Oryzias latipes: one gene and its partner. The protein of the gene in region 1 interacts with the protein of each later gene in a pairwise test. Links are inferred from orthologs where the notes say so. Each region holds a gene or a part of one and is shown in the gene's direction. Other genes may lie near its edges.

Evidence for each region.
Region 2: the proteins of atxn2 (region 1) and endophilin-A1 interact in binary tests that used the Homo sapiens proteins (3 or more experiments, as listed by UniProt). The link is inferred for Oryzias latipes from reciprocal best matches to the Homo sapiens genes ATXN2 and SH3GL2.

What each region holds. Positions count from the first base shown.
Region 1 is NC_019867.2:7,491,102-7,502,964, reverse strand, and holds the start of atxn2 (ataxin-2), read left to right. Parts: upstream 1-1,861; 5' UTR 1,862-2,230; coding exon 2,231-2,343; intron 2,344-2,903; coding exon 2,904-2,934; intron 2,935-3,296; coding exon 3,297-3,356; intron 3,357-3,718; coding exon 3,719-3,790; intron 3,791-6,985; coding exon 6,986-7,136; intron 7,137-7,322; coding exon 7,323-7,337; intron 7,338-8,258; coding exon 8,259-8,383; intron 8,384-8,538; coding exon 8,539-8,630; intron 8,631-8,759; coding exon 8,760-8,948; intron 8,949-9,754; coding exon 9,755-9,927; intron 9,928-10,268; coding exon 10,269-10,517; intron 10,518-11,863. UniProt on the Homo sapiens protein: Involved in EGFR trafficking, acting as negative regulator of endocytic EGFR internalization at the plasma membrane.
Region 2 is NC_019876.2:2,733,526-2,745,388, forward strand, and holds part of endophilin-A1, read left to right. Parts: intron 1-2,674; coding exon 2,675-2,743; intron 2,744-2,951; coding exon 2,952-3,024; intron 3,025-3,089; coding exon 3,090-3,233; intron 3,234-4,666; coding exon 4,667-4,800; intron 4,801-4,892; coding exon 4,893-5,051; intron 5,052-5,270; coding exon 5,271-5,374; intron 5,375-5,453; coding exon 5,454-5,584; intron 5,585-6,227; coding exon 6,228-6,424; 3' UTR 6,425-11,863. UniProt on the Homo sapiens protein: Implicated in synaptic vesicle endocytosis. May recruit other proteins to membranes with high curvature. Required for BDNF-dependent dendrite outgrowth.

The sequences.
Region 1 (11,863 bases):
TTGTTTTCCACGTGAAGTTGTGGGTGTTTTTCTATTTTTTATTTTGAAAGGCCAGTCAGTTCAAGAAACATTCACTCCATTGTGAATTGGATTTCCATGCTAATTTTAATTAGTCGATCCAGTTTAATGAGCATCTTTAAAATAGATTTATCTATTTTTGACGCTTTTCGCGTTTTAAAGTAAATTTGCAAAACAATTTAAAGAAAACCCCACAGATAGCAATTAAGGCAAAAACGCTTTTTACTAAACTAAACACATAAATACTTGTACAATTCAATTAAATCTAACATATTTGACAGTTGTCCAAACATGCATACCAACGAACAAAACTGGGTTATTTAAAAAACTACAAATTTAAAAAGAAAAGCACTTTAGAAAATGTATTTATTTGAATTTTGTGTTGTTGTAGTACTCACTTTTTGTTGCCTCTTTGAGAACTCCCATGTAATCTTTCACCTCACATTTTATTTATTAGTAGTGTCTGTTCACAATAATCATTGACTGTTGTTTAAAATCTTCTTTATTTTTTAATATCTTAAGAAATTTTGTCCAGTTGAGAGATGCAAAACTTGCACAAAGACGGCAAAATGCAGTGCCTAGTTTTACACTCCATCCAAATTGCCTTGATTTTTCATGTACTTTTTCTTTCTTTATTGCTTTTTTGGTTTGAATGTTGCCAATCAGTTTTATAATTTTCATGTTATACACGTTTTCTGTTGTTTAAGTTGTGTCTTTCAGTAAATTGTTGAATAAAGGTCACATACTACTGCATGGTATAGCGTGGGAACCAACTACTGACTAACCTTAACTGTTGTTCAATGCAGGTTTATAAGGATTTGAATCGGGTGACCATGTTTAAGAAATGGGAATCAAATCAAACTTTATTTAAAAAAGAAATTTAAACGCAAAAACAACACAAAGTGCCAGAAAGCTGACATCTGGCTCATAAACACAAACCCTGACCTCTAGTTTCTCTTTAAACCAGAATTGATATTAAAAAAGAAAAACCTGGGATTAAACAAGAAAATATTGCTTAATGCTTAGGTCTTGAAGTCATAGCAAGGGTTCAGTTGTCACAACCCAGTGCATGCTCGGATCCGCATCCCATTCTCTGAGCTGCAGTGCAGGGCCTCTAACCACAGCAACCATCCCTGATGTGGAATAATCTCACAGGGAAAGCATTGGGATGAAAGATAAAATAAATCAATAAAAAAATCAACTAAAACCAATAATTAATAAAAAATAGGAAACAACCAGAGTAAAAATATATTAAAAGTATACCGTAACAGAAAGACACACAATTGGCAAGATTTAAAAAAATAATATATATATATATAAAAAAGCGGATTGTTGGTAAGTAAAATGTATTTTTTTCTTATAGTATACAATTAAATAAAAATGTGCTAAAATAAGAAATCAGGCGTGAAAAAATAAATAAATGAATGGATCATGAGTTAGAAAATGTAGGGTTTTCTTTCCCACCCACAAAAATATGAATAAAAGTCGGACGTTTGCAGAAAATAGTAATTAACATTATAACCCATCCATCACTTATTGTGTCCAAGGTGTTGTTTGATTCCATACAGACAGAAACCAGCTCACGTGGATCCCATGAAACATCCATGTAAAACTAATGGACTTCCTGAAAATAGTGCCAATGTGCAGTTGTAAATTGAAAAAAAATAAATAAATAAAAAATAAACAGACAATTGTATGTTTATAATTTTCTTTTTTTTTTGTTGATAAATATTACATTTATATGTTTAGTTAAATGAATGCAGTCATGTACGTTTTTATAAATGATTGAAACTAATGTGATACGCCGTTACGCCTTTCCTATATCCCTCCGCCGGTTTTTGTCTCTCTCAGACTGTTTTGGTCTTTTCACTGTTAGCAACGGAAAGAGCCCAAGCTAGCTGTGAACGTATTTAGAAAAAAAAAAATTAAATCTTTTTTTAGGGTTTCATAAAAAATTGACAAGTGGCGTAACGTTTTTTGGGGGGATTTCAGGAGCGCGTCGTCTTTTTAAAACTTGTTTTTTTTTCCTGTTTTAAAAATATTTGTACAGATTGCTAATTTGAGGGAGCAACTGTGCACCGGAGTTAGTTAGCAAGCGTCTTAGCATAACATTCACGTTGACATTAGCCTGCTAGCACGTTGGCAAGCTGTCACCGAGGAAATTCACGTCTGAAAGTTGTCATTTTAAGACTTTGTTTTTTATGGGATCATTATGTCATTGAAGACCGGTGGAAATCGCAGCAAGCCCGGCGGTGGTAACACCGCTGGTGGTGGGGCCGCCTCCGGTGCCGGGGGAAGCGGCGGTGGAAGACAGAATCTGGGCAGGTCAGTAATAATATCAAAATTCATTGTAAAAATAAATTTTACTAAAGGTATCTGTGACCTCTATTCAGTAAATACATATAATCACTTTAGACGGTTTTAGTTTGAAGAGATGACATACATGCTAAATGGTAAAATTTGTGCGTGTCAGAGAATGAAATGCGGGCCTTGCGTCATGCTCTGGTCATCAGGTAAAACGTTTTGCAGCTCGGCTAGCGAGGCCTAACCGCTAATGTTCAGCAATGTTTCGACTTTTTCTAGTTATACACGGATTTAAAAAAAACAAACCATATGAATGTGCATATAAAATGTGCATCTAAACGTCCCTTTCACCTCGCATGCTCTATGTAACCCCGGCGGTTTAGAATGGCCCACCCAGAAATGTTTTTTTTTTTTTTTTGGATTGAAATGGGACATTTTATTGTGTCAACGATCATGGCATTTTCTTTCACGTACAGAGCTGTTTTGTAGAGTTTACCCAGTCAGAACATGCAATCTTTATTGTAGAATGCATCAATTGTAAGAAAGTTTGTCAGCAATATAGAAATATTTTTTTTCCTCAGGGGAAGACACGGTGGTAAAGGTCCTGCAGCTGTAAGTTACCAATAATTCTTTAAAAAAATCATATTAATATGTATGTATGCATGCTGGTTAACATGCATCTGTTACCTGCAAGTGTTTTGAATGTATTGGTGAAACACAAGTTTGTGTTTAAAAGTAGCCATGAGTCAGAAAAGCTCAGGTTAATAAAAGCATATTTTGTGCTTTATTCCAAAGTGAACTGATGTTTTGTGGATGTCATTCGGATGTGACCTACTGTTTATTTATCAGCAAATTGTGAGCAGCAGATTATGTGCATTTTCTTTCTTTCTTTCTTTCTTTCTTTCTTTCTTTCTTTCTTTCTTTCTTTCTTTCTTTCTTTCTTTCTTTCTTTCTTTCTTTCTTTCTTTTTTTAGGTCATTTTCAGTGGTGTTTATGCAAATATGAGGATGGTCCACGTTTTGACTTCAGTGGTGGTAAGTTGACCTTAATATCCTGAGTTAATTGCAATAACTGTCTTTCTATTTTGTTTCTAATATTTCCTACTAATAAAGCACAAGTCGAACATATTGTAAAGAAAATAACCACAAATATATTACTGTAGCTCACAGAGTAATAGTAGTGTTGGAGTTTTTTGTTTGGACTCATGCTGTGTTTTTAAACCTTAGGAATGTTTGTAAGGAAACAGTTGATTATATAAACAAAGATAAGATTGATCCTTTTTTTTTTGTTTATTCTGTGACAAATCCATTTGAAGTTCCTTTTTTGTTTTGTTTAAAATAATGAAATTAATTGAATAAACAGTTGCTGCATACATTAACAAAATTGCCTTTTGCAGGGGACAAAGTGTGAGCTGGAGGTGAAAAACGGTTCTGTGTACGAAGGCGTATTTAAGACGTACGGTCCAGAGGTAAGTAAAGAGCAGGAAACATGATAAAGTTCCATTGTAACTATTTTCTGCACATACCTAATAACAGATTAAGATACCAGAGTAGAGTGGGGGGGGGGGGGGGCATTATTCCTTCCATAAATTCTGTGTGTATTACTCGTGAACTTTTGAAGGTCAATCTGTTTAAAAATGTCATGTTCAGATGAACAATTTTACCGCAGCAATGAAAAACTGCAGCTCATTTAGTAAAGCATGACGCTAAACAGAAAAGACTTTTCCGTACAATTATCAAAGACTTTTCCTTATTTTATGTTTCTTAAGTATGTTACTGCCTCTCTAAGGCCGCATGTGTGTTATGTCAATAAAAATAGCAGCTTTAAAAAAGAATCTGAATATTCTTTGCTTTTAGAAGCTAATGCCACTTTTCGCACGGGGTCAAAAGAATAAAGCTCGACTTTTTTCTGTTTTTTACTGCACTGGACATTTACATTTGCAGAAATGTTTAAATGTTGATGTTTTTGTTAGCTCTTTTTAGATGGTGAGTCAACCCTGCAAAGAATGGTTAGAGGGTAGGGGGGTACTTTGAGACTGCAACGATATGTTCAGTCATTTATATTATGTAACTGTTAGGCCAGGAAAGTTTATTTGTTTAGCACATTTCATGTGCAAAGACAACTCAAAGCGCTTAACATAAAACATTTAAAGAAGCAATCAAATACATATTTAGAAAGATCATTAAAATAAGATTTGAAGAAAGTTAAAAAATAACTTCATTTAACTGAAGCATGGATAAACAGTGTGGATGTCAACTTTTGAATACAAACTAATCAAATGCAGCAGAGATCTGGTGGGTCTTTATCTGGATCTAAATAAACTAAGTGTTTCAGCTGATCTAAGGCTTTCTGGAAATCTCTTCCAGATATGTGGAGCATAGAAGCTGAGTGCAGCTCCTCCATGTTTGGTTTTTGACTTTAGGAACTGAAAAAAAAAAAAAAATTGGAGCAATCTGAATGCTTCCTATCAATTTAAATTTATACCATTGCCAACTTTTGTGCTGCTCCTTTTTCAATTTATTTTTTGACAAAAAAGCCAATTTTCTACATAAAAAGTTAAATAAGATGCAGCAGTAAGTAGAAAATGTGATGAATTTAGTTGTTGTTGTTTTTTTTAATCCAAATGTATGCACTATAAAAAGGAATGGACTAATATCTTGCAGAAGCCGGTCTGTGGTTTAACATTACAGTTAGACTAAATCCTGTGTTATTGCTTAGATTAGGGTTATGTTCATGAAGGTCAATGTCATCATTTAAGGATATAAAATATATGGTGAAAGTTTGACTAATATCTTCTCCTGATGACACATTTTTGCTAGAAGTATTCCCATGAAAGCTACTTTTTAGGATTCACAGCATCACTGTTGACACAAAAAAAGAAAAGTCGGCAAACCAGATAAAGAAAAAAATAAATTGAGCTGAGGGTTGAAGAGTAATCCAGCTGGATTGATAGGCCACATTTGTTACACCTCGTTGATTGGACAAGATGTTTCAAGGTCAAATCTAAGTTTAGGAAAATGGAAGATTTTCAAAACGATAGGAGCTCAGATTAAATCTGAGCTGCTCTTTGTGTTTAAATCAGTAAGTCTTTCCAGGTTCCCTATATGACCAGATCCAAATTGTTTCATGAAAATAAGCATAAGTCAAATAGGAAAGAAATATTGATACTTGTCAGTGGCTGAACACAAGCAAGGATCCCAGAAACCATTGCAATATCAGATTTAGTTAAATGCTACCCCGCCACTGAACTGTGAAGCAGTGGAACATTTTTTTCCCAATTTAAAAATCATGCCTGTATTTCTAGTTGGCAGTCAGATGAACGAGTCTGAGTTTGGCTGATGTTTGTAAAATGCTACCAGCCTGACTGCACTGTGCACAATATCAAAGATGGTAGAGCAGATAATAGTGGAATGGACCTTTTTCTTTTTTAAAGTCTGAGTTTGTAATATAATAGATATTATATAATCCAGTCTTTGGTGTAAAAAACACCAAAGACTGGATAATCTGCAAGAATTTCAGATTTACCTTTTGGAATAACTACCCTGACCCAGGATATGTGCACACCAGTTTCCCTCAGCAAGTGTTCCGTGTTTAGTGCAAGAATTACATTTTAAAAATAATCCATTGTAGGTAAAATCTGCAAGTTAGGAATAAATATCTTTTGAGGTTGTAAACCCCCCCCCACTGCACACTTTGTGTCCATCTGAGAAAAGTGTACAAACATTTTTTTCGCACTTATCTCTCCTGTTTAATTCTGTACAAGAGACACTGCACAGAACACATTGATTGACAAGGTCAGCAGCCAATCAGGACAAAGAACACAGTGTGCCGTTTAAAAAACAAGGCATGTAAAACTACACAGAATAAATACGCTTTGATTTGAACAAATTTCTCAAATGAACTGGGGGGGCAGAAAAGCCTAACTTTATTAGATTTACATGTAATGACTTTTAGTGGCAAAGCCAGTAAGCATTTGGAGGCAGGACAAGTTGTGAGTTCAAATCCCTTGTTGGTTTATGGTCAGATGTCTCAGTCTTCCCTCAGTATGCAACTAGTTTAGTTTTTTATTTATTCTATCCTATATTAAAATGAAATAAAATGTACTCCACCCTGTCAGCACTGACCCATTAAAGACCCACTCCAATGAAAATGATGTTTTTGTTGTTTTTGGCATATTCTTGTGGCATTTCTCTCATGATGGAGGACGAAGAGATCCATCTACGTCTTTGTTTTCCTCGTCCGAGCTGGCATCTGTACATCTCGATAGCTCCAATATTGCTCGCCATTTTTGTGGCACAGCTAATGTTATCTTGGGGCTGTAAGCTAGAGGGAGATGGAGTTAAACAAAATGAATCATGGAAAATGAGCGCTGGCTTACTTCTTCAGCAGCAACCCCGCTCACAATTCAGAGGCGAATTTCTGATGAACTTCAGAAACTATGTCCTAGAAAATGACACTTTATTTTTTTAAATTTGAATTTCACCTTAAAACGGCATAATGATAATCAAAAGATGACCAGAAACGCTTTTACAATAGATCAAAAGATGATTGCAGTGACTGTGTGAGCATATTTACTGACTATCTTTTACCAAACTATTTGACAGTTTTTCCAGGCTTTTCTTTCATAATCTATCTGAATTCGACTGTTTGTTTTTCCCCACAGTGTGACCTGGTGTTGGATGCAGCCCACAGAAAAAGCCCAGAGCCCACCACCGGCCCCAGGAAAGAAGATATTGTAGAAAGCATCATTTTCAAAGCTTCGGATGTTGTAGTCGTGACTTTTAAAGACGTAGATCCCAATTTTGCTAGAAAAGGTATAACATGTTTTTCAGCGTTCAGTAAAGAGTAAATACGCTTATTTTATGTTGTTTATTGTAACATGTTTTGAAGAATGATAGACTAAAGTAGACCTTTTTAATACACCAATTATTTTTTGTTGTTGACAACACTGGGGGAGTCCATGCTCTTACGTCATTTGTCTTTTCTTTCCTCCGGTTTAGTGTCCACTGATACAGGTAATGTATCATTTTCTTTTTTATGGCTTTTCTCAAGTATTTTTATTTACAGTTAACTCTGATTCACTTTATTTTGGCTGTCTTGTAAACGTAAGCAAACATGTCAGCATGTCACCAAATGTGACTTTATTTTTATGCTTATTTTTGTAAAAGAAGAAGGGAAATTCTTTTTAGAGGCCTATATTTCCTTGTCACGTAATAGGCAGCTATAGGCTGCCTTCTGCTTTAAACGAAAAATGATATTGGATGAATTAGAATTTCTTGTTTTTATTTTTGCTGACCTTCATAATTGTATGTTTTCACTGATCTTCATTATTACTGGTGCTGAAGTTGGATTTCCTCTGCACCACTTTTAACCAAACTATTAAGGATTTAGGATTAATTTGATTTTTATTTACTTATTGATTTGTCTGAATTCTTTAAATTGAAGTTTAATCTTGGACCGATTAGTTGTGCTAGAGTAACTAGTAAGCTTGAAAGGAGCCCTGCTGTATGACTGTCGGTGTCAGGTCTAAGAATGACCCCAAAGATTCAGTCTCATTTCCTTGTAGATATTAGTTGGAGTTACCTCTGTCAATGCCAAAGCATTTTATACATATGCAAGTACAGATTCTTCATGAGACTTAATATGAAACAAGACAGTTTTTATTGACGCTCAAAACAAAACACTCTAAAGCCACAAACTAATCTGGGACTTCTCACTATTTGTTTTTATCTTGGATTGCACTTTAATCCGTTCTACATTAAATAAACCAATTTTAAGCAGCATTTTATATTATAGCGTCTGAGCAGATGTTTCTGTAGATTCAATATTTACCGATTATAGTACATTAGTTCAGTCCTAACTTACTGTTGGAATTCATCCATGTCTTAAATTACTCTGCCATGTATTATCTATTGATTTCCTTTTCTTTTAATTAGACAACTTCACAGATGCAGCCGTCACTGGAAGGATCAATGGAGAGCACAAAGAGAAGGACCTGGAGCCCTGGGATGGAGGTGATGGTCACAATTCGGACAGCCTCGAGTCTCTAGATACAGATGTGGTGAGAAAATGAACACAAGCATGACAGTAATGTTGATGCCTCCCATGTGGTACATCAAAAGTTATTATTTTAGCCACAATATTGACAAAAACACATCAGAGTTTTAGCAATTTATTTAGACCTTTCTGTGAAATTCTACTTTCTCCTCAAACCAGTCAAACGGATGGGATCCCAATGATATGTTCAAGTACAACGAGGAGAAGTATGGAGTCTTGTCCACGTATGACAGCAGCCTGTCCACATATACGTAAGCTCTGACCTGCTTCTTCATCTACATATTGCTAACACAAGGCGGGGAACACTGGAAACGCATGCTAGATAAGCCTGGCTGTCAACATTGTGCACCGTTCTCGACCAATTCGATCTTGTTTCCCAGACTCCCCTTGGAGCGTGACAACTCTGAAGAGTTCCTGAAGAGAGAAGCTCGTGCTGCTCAGCTGGCAGAGGAGATTGAGGCCAGCGCCTCGTACAAGGCCCGCGTGGCGTTGGAGAACGATGAACGCACTGAGGAGGAAAAGTACACTGCTGTGGTGCGAGGGGACAGGGAGACTCACACACTTGGCAGGTGAGAGCAAGACGCACGCCACAAACCATCATCATGTACAGATCTCTGCGTTGAGGTTTAGTAGGGGGTTAATAGCATGTTGGGATTTTATTATGTTAATCTTCTTCAGTAGTTCTATACTTCAAGTTCCATTGAAATTCAACAGTAGATTAAAAAAAAAGTACAATAGTTTTTAGTTCTTTTTATCTTTTTTTTACCCTTGCAGGAACAGTTTCTCAAAGTGAACTATGTGAGGTTGTGCAACTAGACCTGCCTGTTATCTAAATCTACACGCACTTCCATAAAGCTGTGTAGGCCCTGAATACATTGTTAGGAGGAAAAGTTCCTAAAAATTAAACTACACTGAACTGAACCAAGTCGTAATGAATCTGTTCCTTCACAGACAGGACTTCCAGCAGCTGCTTGTTGAACCACAAGTAATTAAAAAAATATGTGTGTGTGTATATATATCTATGGAGTTTCGTGTGCTTCTAGTTCAAAATAAAGTAAATACAGTTTTCTTTTTTCCTGAATATAAAAATAGCTGACCTGTTTTATAGTTTTGGTTTAGTTTTGGTTTAGTTTTCATATTTTTTGGGTTGTAATTAATACTTATATTTGTTTTCTGTTGTTTGTGCTAAAATGTAAAACAATTTAAAACACACTTTAAAATTTTAAATCAGTTTTTGTCAAAGTTATCTTTAAGATAGTTCACAACGCTGTAATTTTAAAACGGCTCTCTGTGTGCAGCTGAGAGGGTACTGCAGATCAACGCTTCTCCTGTTTATCTGAAACCTCTTGTTTTGTCTTTTTGTATCTAAATGCAGAGAGAACAAGTACGTTCCACCAGGTCAGAGGAACAGGGAGCCATTGTCATGGAGCACAGGGCGACAGAACTCTCCTCGTCTGGGTCAAGGTTCTGTTGGACCTTCAGCTCCTCGGCCGGGACCCCACGACTACAGTCCCAACTCTGGGACAGACCAGAGAGTGGTCAACGGAGGTATGTTTATTGCAGAACTTGCAGTTCAGGGGTTACTTTTTACACTATTAAAAAAAAAAACCTCTTAGTTGATGCTAAAAATGTTTTCTATGGAGTGACGTAAATGTGGCCACCTCTTATTTATTACATTGTCATTTTTCTATCCTTTTTTGTGTAGCCTTTGAAGAATAACAGTTATTATTTCAGATCTTTAATGTTTTAAGAAAAAACATTTCATGTTATTCTGCTTTAGTTGTGCCAACCCTCCCTTTTTCTATTACTGCTATACCTTTTTTGTTTCTTTCTCCGCCTCCACTTTTGCTAGTTCGTCATCCTTGATCATTTGTCCTTGCCTCTTTTAGGTTCATCCCATTGGCCCTCACCCTGTCCGTCTCCTTCCTCTCGTCCCCCCTCTCGTTACCAGTCTGGCCCCTCCTCTCTGCCTCCTCGGGCGACCACGCCCACAAGACCACCCTCCAGACCCCCCTCTCGACCTTCCAGGCCTTCCTCTCATTCGTCCCATCCCTCCTATTCTTCCTCTTCATCCTCCTTTTCTCACCATGGGCCCACGTCGCCAGCCTCCACTCTGCCCAAACGCATGTCTTCAGAAGGTATCCACATGATTGTGGAGCAGACCTGGGCAAAGACTCCATGAAAGTTGAGGGATTGAAGTTGTCACGCTCTAAAAAAACAACAGAACGGTTACAAAAAGGAATAAATACAGTGGAAAAACTACTTTCATAAACACATTTGCCCAGGTCTAATGTCAAACAGAAGTGGTGAAATTGCTTTCTCAGACTGATTTGGGGTCAGATTTTTGACAGATTAACCCAAAAAAAAGTGTTTACCTGTGTTTGCTTTACGCCCTACCGAATGAATCCAATTGGAAGTGCTTAAGGCTGACCCTTTGTCAGTCATACAGGCAGTTTCATCTTGGCATGTGGGTGCATCAAGGTGTTGTGCTGTTTCTGTGCTTTCTGCCTAACAAAGGTGCAAAATGCAAAGTCACCAGTTTCTCACCTTGTTTGCAGCAAAGCAGGGCTCACTTATCAGACTTTTAATCGATAAAACCCACTACTGTACAGCCTCGTGAGGTTGTCAGTGAGATATTTAACACTAAAATGATACTTTCAGAAGTTTGAAAGTCCATTATTAGTAGTTTTTGTTTACTTTGTTTCTGCATTTGCAGGTCACTGGATTGAAAATGTCTATGAAGATGGAAATTTAATAAGCTTTGGCATTACATTTTTATATTTAAAAAATATTTTTTCCATTCCCCCCCCCCCCCCCCCCCCCCCCCCCCCAAAAATGTCTCTACAAGACCATCACTAGCTACTCATTTGCACTCCTGGCGTACATTGGAAATGTGTCTGACTGTCAGACTAGTCAAAGTCAACATGTTCTTCTCAGACCTCAATATAGTTTTGGTTTGATCCAAATTTAACACTCTGTCGCACTTTTAAACTTTTCTTACCATCTTGGATCCAGTTTTTGAAAGATGTTCATAACCTTGAGAAGGAACCTCAATTGTCATTTATTTTACTAATAAATGGCCGATTTTCTATGTTTTCTTGAAAGCTGTGGAATAAGTCAGCAGGATACAGGCAGTAACTCACCATGGAAACCGAAGTAAACTGGGAAATATTTCAGTCCTTACATTGGTTCCACAGATGTAATCTGGTAACAGGACAGTGTTTGGACCAAATGACCTTGAGCAGCTGCATCTCATAATCACTGTTTAGAAATGGTGGGATGAATAATTTAGAGCTTGATGCTTCTAACTTCATAAATAATACATACAAATTTAAAAGAATACACAAAAGGCAATGGAGAACATGCACTCGATACAACAATGTATAACAGTTTAGACTTTCGTTTATTTGATACTGAATCCTGTGAGCTAAATAAAAAGATTTAAGTATAAAATTTGCCCCATTCTTAAAGCATTACTGTCTTT
Region 2 (11,863 bases), on another chromosome or scaffold:
GAAGATCCTGAGAAGGACTTGGCACCATAGATGTTTGAAGTGTTGTCGTCGTTTTACGTGGTGTAGTGATAAAGTGCTTATCAGGGTTCGCCTGATGAAGGAATTCAATGGACTATCAGGTCCAAATGAGGAGCTGTGGGAACTGTTGGACAGTCTGGTCCAGAAAGAGAACCAAAGGAACGGGAACATTTGGACTGTTTGTCTCCCAGCTGAACTTGAAACAAACACAAGTACAAAATGCAGACATGCCGCGTTGTGATTGGACGGCGGTCCTCAGCAGACGTGATGGGTTGGTGTTCACTGACAGAATCAGCATCTGTGGATGAAAATATAATCATGAATGAAGCAAACGGGTTGAAAAGCTGGTCCAAATGGGAGTTGGGGGGGGTTATGTAAGGGTGTTAGACTACACCCCCCACCCCCATCTAAGGATTGCAGGTGTGTCCTTACACACTTGTTTGTTGTGTTCGTCTGAGGGTGCACTCAGATCATTGTTTCCATGGTAACTGCATCATCCTTACCAACTGTCTGCTCCTCACACATTTCCTTCCCGCTGTGCTTTTACATTGTTTAGAATTTTTTTTTAATCTTTGTGTGGAGAACATCCGGGCGTCGCCGTCTCATTTCCCTCCATCAGGCTGCAGTAATCACAGGTTGTCCTCGGTGTCTCACTGAAGCTCGGGTCTGGACGGCTAAGTGTTTGTGTAGATGAGTGAGGACTGCTGAGAACCGGGTCCACATGACTTCACTGAATGAAGTCGTAGGGATTCTGCTGAGGTTTAGCTTGAGATCACAGATGGTCTCAGATTATACACTTTGTATTTATGGCATATTCAGATTTTTTTTTTAAACGGATGCATCACGAGCTATGAAAATATTTTAAATAATATCCAGATAACTGCATCCTGCTTATTAATTCTTCAAGCAATGTTCAGACTTCCATGTTCAAAACTCTTGTGTTCACATGTAAACAGGTTTCTATGATCTATGATGGCAAAAAAGGCATCAGAGGAAGAATAGTTCTTCTGACTAACAGGTGTTTATTTCTCTATTGAAGCATAGGGTTGGGTTCTGTGGGCCCGTGGAGGGTCATAGAGAAGAGTAGTCGCATCCTAAGGGGAGGGCAGTTCCCCTAAAACATGAATGGCCACCGCAAGGAATGTCATGAAAATGGAACGCACCATTGCCGTGCGTGTGGTACGTGTATCGTGGAGTATTCTGAAGGAGTTGCACACACTTATGACGTACAGATGAAGCTGTGATACGCTGTTGTAAGTCGTTAGTTAGGAGCAAGTGTTGGCTTCTTACTGACCATGCAAAAATGTCAAACACACTGAGTTCATGTGATACGTAAGTGGACGTTTGTAGGATTTCCACACAATCTACACTCTGACTAACGTTTGCAATTCTACCAGTCAGGCTGCACATAAGGAGTGTAGTAAATCACGTGACTAGGACTAATTGGCTCCTTGCGCAGTGCACAGGATTTGAAAACTGCCTCACCCACTTCCCCCTTACTCACCCTTACGTGTCGTATGAGTATTCACTATGACCTGTTGCCTGCAGCATGCCTGTAGCAAACATGTGCATGAGCATTTTGGCTCTACTGGATCACCTGTTTGACCATTTTTACTCACCTACAGCTCACATCCACCTGTGGGAGCAGCTGGGACTAAAGTATTACTGATCAACAACTGTAATCCGCTGACAGGATTCATGAAGTAGCTACTGTCCAAAAGCGTTTTGTTGGAGTCCTCTGGTGTTCTCAAAGTTAAAACTTTCTTTAGAAGTGACTTTCATAACAGTAAGAGTTTAGTCTTTGGGGGTCAGAGTCTGTGAGAAAAGAACCTGGGGCTCTCAGGACAGTTTCACACTGGAAGTTCTGGTTGTTGTTGGATCCACAGCGGTTGGTTTCCGTGGATAGTTTGGTTTGGAAGGTCACCAGCTGGAGATGAACCACCGCTGGGGGGGGGGGGGGTCTATTAATGGGACTGTATGTGAATGAAATCCTGTTTTACATTTAGAGTGCATTCATGGACTCATAGCAGCAGAGAAATGCTTTTGTCTGCGTCACTCAGACATCTACTGAAAGTGGAAACAGACTCTTGAATGAGTCGGCCTTTTAGGACGGCGTGATGGAGCGGCTTTATTGTGACAGACATAAAAGGATGACGTTAAAGGCATAAAGGCGGATCTGCTGCTCCAGTTCAGACGGCTTCACCTCATCCAAGAGTCTGAGATGTTCAGGCTGCTCGCTTTACACCTCCAGGAAAAAAAGGCTTTCTGACTCACTTTGTTCCTGTTGGTGCTAAAAAGAGGAAACTTTTTATTTCATTTCATGGTTTAAGGTTGACCCCTTTTCTTTTCCTTGAAGTTTAATATGAATTTTCTTTTTGTTTTCGTTTCCACTTCATCATAAATGTGGTCGCCGAGGTTCTTGACAGTCAAACAGAACTAATAACACTTCCAAAGACCACAAGCTGCTTGTTATTTCATTTCCTCCTTTGAGAATTCTATTTTTCATCTCTGCTTTAATCTCACAGCGGCAGAAGCAGCACGTCTCACTTTAACTTTTCATGAAAGACTGTCAACGCCGGCGAGTGTTTCTGCACCCAGACGATGAAGAGCTTGAAGGCAGACATCATGAACCCTTTCTCTGTCTGTCTCCTCACAGAAAGTCAGTGAGAAGGTTGGAGGAGCCGAAGGAACCAAGCTAGATGATGACTTCAAAGAGATGGAGAAGGTTCTTCTGTTTGTCTTTTATCTACTTTACATGAGTCTCATTTGTTAGGAATTATCTATAGCACTAAAGAATGCAAGAAAAGCATTTTAAGGGTTAAGGAATCTGTGGATCATCTGAGCATCCAGCTACAAAACAAACAGCTTGAAATGTTTCTACGTTCATGCTGCTCCTTTTTGTCTGAAATGTTGTTTTTCTTGTTGCTCCACAGAAGGTGGACATCACCAGCAGAGCGGTGCTGGACATCATGACCAAAACCACAGAGTACCTTCAGCCCAACCCAGGTACCAAACACCCCCCCACCTTCCCCGACCACAGCACAAACACTGACGCTCCTGATTCCCCTCAGCATCCAGAGCCAAGCTGAGCATGATCAACACCATGTCCAAGATCCGCGGCCAGGACAAGGGGCCGGGCTACCCGCAAGCTGAGACCATCCTGGGGGACGCCATGTTGAAGTTTGGACGAGAGCTGGGAGAAGAGTCCAGTTTTGGTGAGTGGGAATGTTCCTGGAATGTTATGTGTTCAGTGGAGTTCTTCTGTACTCCCCATGACCTTCAAATATCAAAAATACAGATTTGTAACACCAGACTAACTGCAGAATCCCAAATATCGACACACCGTTGGCACCTGATGATGCTATGGAGCGGTGGCTGTGGCTGTGGCTGTGGCGGTGTTGAGAAAATATTTATCCTTCAGAACAGAGTAAACTAAAGTCCTGTCTACTCCAGCTATTCAAACAAGTCAGGAACGAAAAAGCTCGGCTCTGTGTTTTTCCAAAGCTTTCATTGGTCTGGTGACGTGTCTTTTGGCACATCGTCCGCTCCTTCCTCAACATTGTAACAAAAACCTGTTTGTTTTGGCAGGAGCTCCTGTGCCTCTGAGACTTTCCACCTGTCAGCAGGAGTTGGCTAAACAGTCCTGAATCTCAGATTTCACTCCCAGGTCTCCAGGTCTTGACTCACCAGGTCCTGAAAGGAGGATCTGTGGCTCCAAAGGGTTTTAACCCTTTAGCTCCAGTGTTGGCATTCTTTGGACTACTGTAACTCTTCAATAATTTTAATTATAATTAACGTAATTCCAGCGGATTCTGTTGTGGAGAAAATCAGCAAAGTGTTGATCGCATAAAACAGTGGAAGACTTACAGAATGACAAAGAGCGTGTGTTTTTTAGGTGTCACCAGTGACATCTGTGATGTCAGAGGGTTAAATCCTGTTTCCAATAGGAAACAAACTGAACATCCAGGGACTTGGGTTGTATCTGTAGCCTCTTGGCAGGGTCATGAACTTGTTCTTAAACGTCTACCTGGATAAATGAAGGTACCACCCATCAACGCCATCCCTCGTTCGTCGGTCTGTGAACTAGTGTGTTTGTGTGGATGAAGAGGTTCTGCAGATGTTGTTCAGGTTCAGAGCCTTCATCCATTCAGATCAATCAAAAGAGACGATTGACGACAAATGGATATACATTTTATTTCAGCTTTAACATCATTTCTTAAAGTTAGACTAAAGCTACAGTAGCTTCATACTGCTAAATCCACATGTGGACGTCCACCAATGCGGTCTGCGATTGACTTCAATGGGTGGATTAGCTTCACAAATATCTATGCAGCTGCAGACACCAAAGTTCAGGTCTATTTCCTATTCAACACTTAGATGTTCCAAACATATAAACCTGCATTCAGAGAGAAGCCATCATGAAACCTTCTCATCCTGATGCAAGCAGATCCCGAAGAACGGTTGGTTAAAGTTTCATTTCTAAAAATGTCCATCAGCATCAAAAGCCCCCTGGACCTGCCCTCTGTATGTCTGGTGCACTTCAGTCTATCTGCATTAAACCAGAACATGATGATCTGGATCCTCATCAGAACTTCCTCTGGAAGTTCCTCCTGACTCTGTTTCTCATCCCCTCTCCTCCTCTCCTCAGGCATGGCTCTCATCGATGCAGGCGAGTCGATAAAGGAGCTCGGGGAGGTGAAGGACGCTCTGGACATGGAGGTCAAACAGAACTTCATCGACCCGCTGCAGAACCTCCACGACAAAGACCTGAAAGAGATCCAGGTACGGTTTTTTCTAAATGACTTAGCTTTGAGTCCCCTCTGTCAGGACTTAGTTTTCCTTTCTGATCCCAAACATGTTTCCATCCAATCCAGCACCATTTGAAGAAGATGGAGGGTCGTCGCCTGGACTTCGACTACAAGAAGAAACGTCAGGGAAAAGTTCAGGACGAGGAGATCAAACAAGCGCTGGAGAAGTTTGACGAGAGCAAAGAGATCGCAGAGCAGAGCATGTTCAACCTGCTGGAGAGCGACGTGAGGATAAACCTGTTCATTCAGTCCTCCAGAAATCTGGCCCTGTTCTACTTTCCCAAATGCTTCCCTTGTTGCTATAGTTACACATATTTAGCCAAAGCCCCCTCCTGATTAAAACCGCAACCACAAAATAAAGACAGGCGCTTGGTTGCCAGGCGGAGGAGGCCAGGCCCAGCATGCATGAGAGGCAGCTGATAAACATGCCTGTGTGTGTTGCAGATCGAGCAGGTGAGCCAGCTGGCAGCGCTGGTCCAGGCTCAGTTGGAGTACCACAGCCGAGCCGCCGAAATCCTGCAGCAGCTCTCCAGCAAGATGGAGGACAGGTATCGATCCGCCCGCCTGCTGGGGCCAGAAATGAGCGGTCACAAATGAAAAAAGCTCTTCCTTCTGGCTTCTTTCCAGGATAAAAGAAGTTTCCAGTAAACCCAGGAAAGAGTACAGTCCCAAACCCAGAATGACACTGGAGCTGCTGCCCCCCAGCGAGAGCCACAATGGGGGGATACACTCTGCCAAATCTCCCGGAAGATCACCAGGTAGGAAATATGGCGAGAAACACACACCGGCTGTGCAGTCACCTTCAACCGAGACAGCATAGGGACTGAAACGACACCAATTCATGACTTCTCCAAAAAACACCAAAATAGCAACCATTTGTTGAGTAATTGTTGAGAACTCTGTGTTCTGGACTGAGATAGTTCTAAACCCTGACATCTCACTTACTCTGATCAGAACACAGCGGCAAACCTTTTCTATTTTAAGCAGATTAGAGGCATTAGAGCCAGAAAGATCCATTAGTCTTTTTTAAGACTATTGGAATATCGCAGCCGCAGTGAATATTGTTCCATTTCTCTGCCTTGGTCGATGTTCATCAGCAGCAACCTCTCTGAGATCATTGGTGATGTGTTTCCTGTGACGCTTCAGAGCGGCAAGCAAAACTTCTATAACTATTGTTGGGGGGGGGTCTAAATCCAAACCCATTGGTGTTTAAACACGTATGAGAGAATGAAAACCTGTGGATGGATGGATGGATGGATGGATGAATGGATGGATGGATAGATGGACGGATGGATGGATAGATGGATGGATGGATGGGTGGATGGATGGATGGGTGGATGGATGGACGAACGGATGAATTCTACACTAGCAGAATTGGTTTTGACTCTCACTCTCTTGCAGCCCCCATGGACCAGCCGTGTTGCCGAGCGCTCTACGACTTTGAGCCAGAAAACGAGGGGGAGTTGGGCTTCAAGGAGGGTGACATCATCACCCTGACCAATCAGATCGACGACAACTGGTACGAGGGCATGATCAATGGCCAGTCGGGCTTCTTCCCCATCAACTATGTGGATATCCTGGTGCCGCTCCCTCATTAAGTCCGGTCGGCGACCTGGTGCTCGCCTCCTTTCAATCCAGACACCCAGAAGACAACCTGCATTTACAAAACAAACCACGCCCTTTCTCTTCTTTGTATTCTTCTTCTGTGCTTCTGTGCGATTCTGCTTTCACACAAGAAACTGAAACGGAAAACGGCCGGACAACACAAAATCCTGACACGGAGACTTTAACAAAGATGGATGCAGAAGTCTGTAGGAGATGAAGAGATCCTTTACAGGGCGTGGCTCAACCTGGCAGCACTGGACACCAATGATGCTGTGGAGAAACGAGGCCCAGGGTTTATGTATGTGCATGTCTGTGTGACCTGTTCGTGCTCTGTTATGATGAAGCCAGCACAAACTCCTGCTTGTCCATCAACTGCATAACAGTTTCTTCTGTTGTTTTTTTGTCCTCTTCTTCCCTTTCCAGGAGGAAACGGTCTTTTCTACCTTGACTTTCCTTCTTATCCGTTTCTTAAACTCCCAGCAACCATCACAGCGGTCTTTCTAGCCTTCTTCTCTTGCTCCTTTGACTTGTATTCCCTCTAGGATCTGCAGCTCTGCAGCCTCTGCTGTTGAGAACGTCTCACCCACTTTTAGCGGTTCTTGTAACGTATCCTGCTTCTTTTAGAACCTGTGTAAACCTTCAGCTGCATGAACCAGATGAATCCAGACCTAAAGTGATCAGACTCTGGGGAAACTCGGGTTCCAGGAGTGCATGGCCGGAACAAAGACATACCTCCAATAAGTCAGTGTTTTCAGGATAAATAAGTGAACTTTTCGTCACTTTTTGTGACATCCGTTTGCCTTGTATTATAGATTTAGCCGCCTCTTAAAGGGTCAGCCGGCTTTTACTGGATGAAGATCTAGAAAATTCATTCAACGAAGTGAACATGGTCAGATGGAGAGGCGCTTTTCCAACCAGCAGGCGAGACCGAGCAGCCTTCAGCAGGCTGCTGGATTTGATTATGTTCTTATCTAAGTAACTTAGATAGTATTCAGTTACATTGTTGGTTTGTACTCTGTGGAGTTGGTGCTCGTCAATTTGTCTAATCTGTGGCTTTTGCATGCAGGATGAGCTAACAGGCTAGGCGCTCCAGAAATGTCGTTAAGCCCATTCAGGATTTGCCGGAACCAACACCCCAAATGTGACTTTCAGATGCAGATGGTTTGCTTATGTGAAGCTGCCTGGCTTAAGAGCACAACGTTGTTTTCACAAAGGTTCTCTTCTAAACACAGTGTGTGTAGTTTTACAGAAAACACACTAAAGTCTAGAGGAAACTGTAGAGTCCTTGATTATTTATTGCCCATTCTTGACATTTTTATTTAGCTTTTCCTACAAATATTTCAAAGATTGATTACCCTTTAACACCAGAGCTTTAGCTCCTGTGTTGGCGCTCTTTAACTTAGCTACCATAACTCTTCAACCGCTTACTCAAGTAACCTAACTCTGAGACGGAGAAAAGCATCTTTGAGCCAAAACATAGCCGCTTTTCTCAGCCTATCGCCTATCTTGGAATCACGTTCATTGCATAAATGGTCAAAGAGTTACGGTAGTCCGTCTGTTATTTCGTCTCACCGGTGGTAACTCTGGTACTGAAGGCTGAACGGACGTCCCCTATAGCCATAATGGTAGAACTAGTGATGTGGGGAGCAGGTCTTTTCACACAAAAACTGTTTTGAAAAATTGTTTTAAAAAATGTTTATGAGTAAAGTTTTGTCTTTTAACATAGAATTTATAAAAGGTACCAAAAATGGCCCAAAAACATACAGGAAACGCCATGTCCTAACAGAATTGGCATACAGATAAAAATAAACAAAAGTTATAAAAATTGAAAACTTTCAGATGTTTGATGAAACATTATTATCACTGGTTTGTTTTCTCATGCAGCTCCAACATTAAGCTAAACAGAAGAAGTTAGTGCTGGTAACCGGTTACCATGTTTATCCTCCATAACAAGTATTACTAGTAACAGCATTACAGTTTAGCAGACACACCATGAATCAGGTTAATTTAGCTGTTTTTTTTTAAAGTCTCTTGGAGATACGCTTTTGTTAATGCTGATATCTGGAAGGAAAACTAACTCTCACCAGAAATAGAAACCTTTGGTTTGTGTGTAAACATCTGTGAAACCAGGTTAGTATTGTTACAGATGTAATACGAGCCTAACAGCTTTTGAAATATAGCTTGCGGTTAAAGATTGTAGCCTTTGCACCTGTTAAGTGTTGCTAGTAAAAAGCTGAGAATGTTTTCTGTAATTAGGAGGTGTTCTGTAGCTGGTTTGGAAGTGAAACGGAAAATGTGTTGTTACGTAGCATTATCTGCAGGTTTAGATGGTTTCTTCAGACAATAATAAAGAGCTTCTTGTTGTGTGAGAGCTAGCAGTCAACGCAAACGTCATTTATAAAAGAATCCAGTGTGCTCTAAATGGAAACTGCTTAAAATTTCAAACTATAAAAATGTAAACTCATTTTTAGCATACATTTGTGCTCACATTACTATCGCTAACATGGCAGAGGTGGCTAATCGTTAGCTTTTCTCTTCAAATTAGCATATCTAATGTATCAGGAAGGACTAAAACCATCAGATTAGCATAGCTAGTTCTAATAGGGCATAATGACTCTGCCCAATGCATTGTGGGAAGTAATGCTTTGTTCGGTTTTGTTTTGGTTTGTACCAGATTTTAGTGGGTTTCTCACAGGGTGACGTCACACTGTCATTGCAATGTTGTGTGTGCCTGATTATTTATAATAAATTGTTTGTACTGAGGACGTTGGACTGCGCCATTTCCGTTGTGCCTCCTGTACGTCTGGTTGCTCAGGGTTGTATGGAGGACAAGTCAGCTCAACATTCTGTCTTTTAGTGTGGTTAAGGCAGTGTTTGCTAGTACCCTGCTAGTTAGCATTGTTGAGTTTCATTCTATTATGGTGGTTTTCTGACAGTGGAAATCCCACTTCTGACACAAATGTAGCTGCCGCAATGGCTAGATACACGTTAGGAATGAGATGAGGCAGAACTCAGCTAACTATGCTGAGACTAACAAAATGCATCTACTGCTTAAACCGCACTAGATAGCAGAATGATGAGCTAAATCGAGCCCCATGTACCTCATGACCCAGAGCAGCCAGAAGTACAGGAGGCACAACATAAATGGCACAGTCCAATGTCCGCGGTACGAACCATTTAACAGACCGGTTTCAGTGCTGTATTACCACTTCCAGAACCCATTAACTTGTGGTGCAAACCATGAAAACACAAAACATTACTTCCCACAATGCATTGGGTATGGATATTACAATACTAAAAAAATATTTCTTATTTTCTTTATACTGTTTATTTGTTTTCTCGCATTAGCATAGTGAATTCTAACGTTCCAGATATGACCAATTGTTTTGCATTCGTCTAACCAACAATTTGCTAATATTGCAGAAGTGGCCAACCTGTTACTTTTTTTTGTTTTGTTGCAAAATACTTTAGTTATTCTGCATTGAAGTATAGATATATATATTTTAAAAACTGCATTTAGTATGCTTTGTATTGTTTAAAAAAAAGGTTTTGCGTTACTTTTTTTTTATTTAAGTAGGCATGTAGTCGTTGCAGTCAAACCATTAGGGACGGCATGGACTTTAGAGACAGAGTAGACTTTATAAAAAATATACAAACTCATTGAAGATTATTTAAACAGAATGATAAATAAGCACGTACAGGACTCCAGATCACACCAATTCTTTGAAACTGAATACTCAGCGGTGTTTTGTTTAAATTTCACTTAGTCAGAATACAAGAGTTTACCAAATAAACAACGTTCCTTTGGTTTTTTACCTTTTATTTTGTGTTTCTATAGAAAGAGTCAACTGAATACATAGTTTTTCCACAACTTGTTTGGGGAGCATAAAGTTCAACATTAAAACAAGTGTCACGAGTTAGATTAGAGTGGATAAGACACCATTTATCCCACGATGGGGAAATTCTTTTGGAAAGAAGTTCTTTAGGAAGTTCAATATCCTGATCCAATCAACACTAAAGGCAATACGTTTATAAAAATTAACATTTCATGAAGGAAGATTTTCTTTGCGGTCATGTTGGACATTAAAAACACAAATGCAAAGTGAACAGTCCTGTTTCAGGTGGTCGTAAAAGACAGGGCTTTCCCTTTCAAAATGTTTTTGACCTCCTTTTGTGTCGGAAAATCTGAATTTTCCAAACCTGTTTGTGAATTGTGTTTGAGATGTGAAGAGGGGGTTTCCAAAAATCTAAACAGAAAGTTAACATAAGAAACTAAAGGAGGAAAACCTTTTCCCCCTTCTCTTCCTGTTAGCTTTGAATTTAATTTCCTTCTTATTGTAACTATTTTCACTGTTTTTTATATTTTCACCAGCTTGGCCCACATCCATGCAGCCTTTTGATTTAGTGCTTTAAGACTTCATTCTCTGAACCCTGTTTTTTTTAAACTACTTCACGTTTTCTTCGCTGATTTGCCCTCTATGGCGACATGTATTCTAACCTCAATGAGGGATTGTACAGCGTTTCTGTGTTTTCACCGTCTGACAGTCAGACCTCGACCACATTGGCGGCCTCCTCTGGCTGAAAGCGTCAGTCCTGTCTCTGAAGGGAAGCAGAAAAAAAAGCTTTTTTATATATTTATAAACCAATTAAACCTGAATTTCAATCACAGAAATCCACATTTTAACATGAAGGCTGTCAGGATTTTCCGTCTTCTGCAGCTTTGTATTTATGTTAAATCGTTTAAGCAAAGCAGAGTCGCTTATGTGGAACAAACTTCCTCAGAACGGCAGGAAGTGCAGGTTTTTTTCCTGTGCTCGTCACTTTTGAGCACTGCACCGTCATCTTGGTACTGACGTCTCGTATGCCAACTTTAGCGGGACGAGGAGCTGTAAGGTTTCAGTCCAAAGGTGTTGACAGGACACAGTTCGTCGGTAGATTAAACCTCTAGAACCATTGAGGAAAATTGAGTTTATCACACAATAACTCACTTCAAAAATGTTAAAAAGGTCAACTTTGCTCAGTGTAAAAAAATCTTTTTTAGCGTCTTTTCCTCTGATAAGCAGTCAGGCCCGGCCTGCTGTTGAGCAAAGGCTGATACAGTTTTGCACCGTCATCTCTGGGGCATGATAATGTGGCCGTGGTCTGACCCGCGTTACGTCATAGAACTATATGGTCGTAAACATTTCAAAATGAATCAGAAAAGCTCCTGTCCTCTGGAGAGCTGCCTGTGTGTATGTAAATATAGAAACACCTTGTTGCTATTTATGTAGGTGTTGTATGTATTTATTTATTTGGTTGTTTGTTTATTTATTCCAGCGTCCTATTTATTGGTCAGGCACCTGTGGTGTAATTGACGGTTGTTGGCACATTGCTGTGTAATGTGGAGGAGGGTGGACCTTTGGGGGAGGGGCTGGTTAATGGAGGGGTGTGGG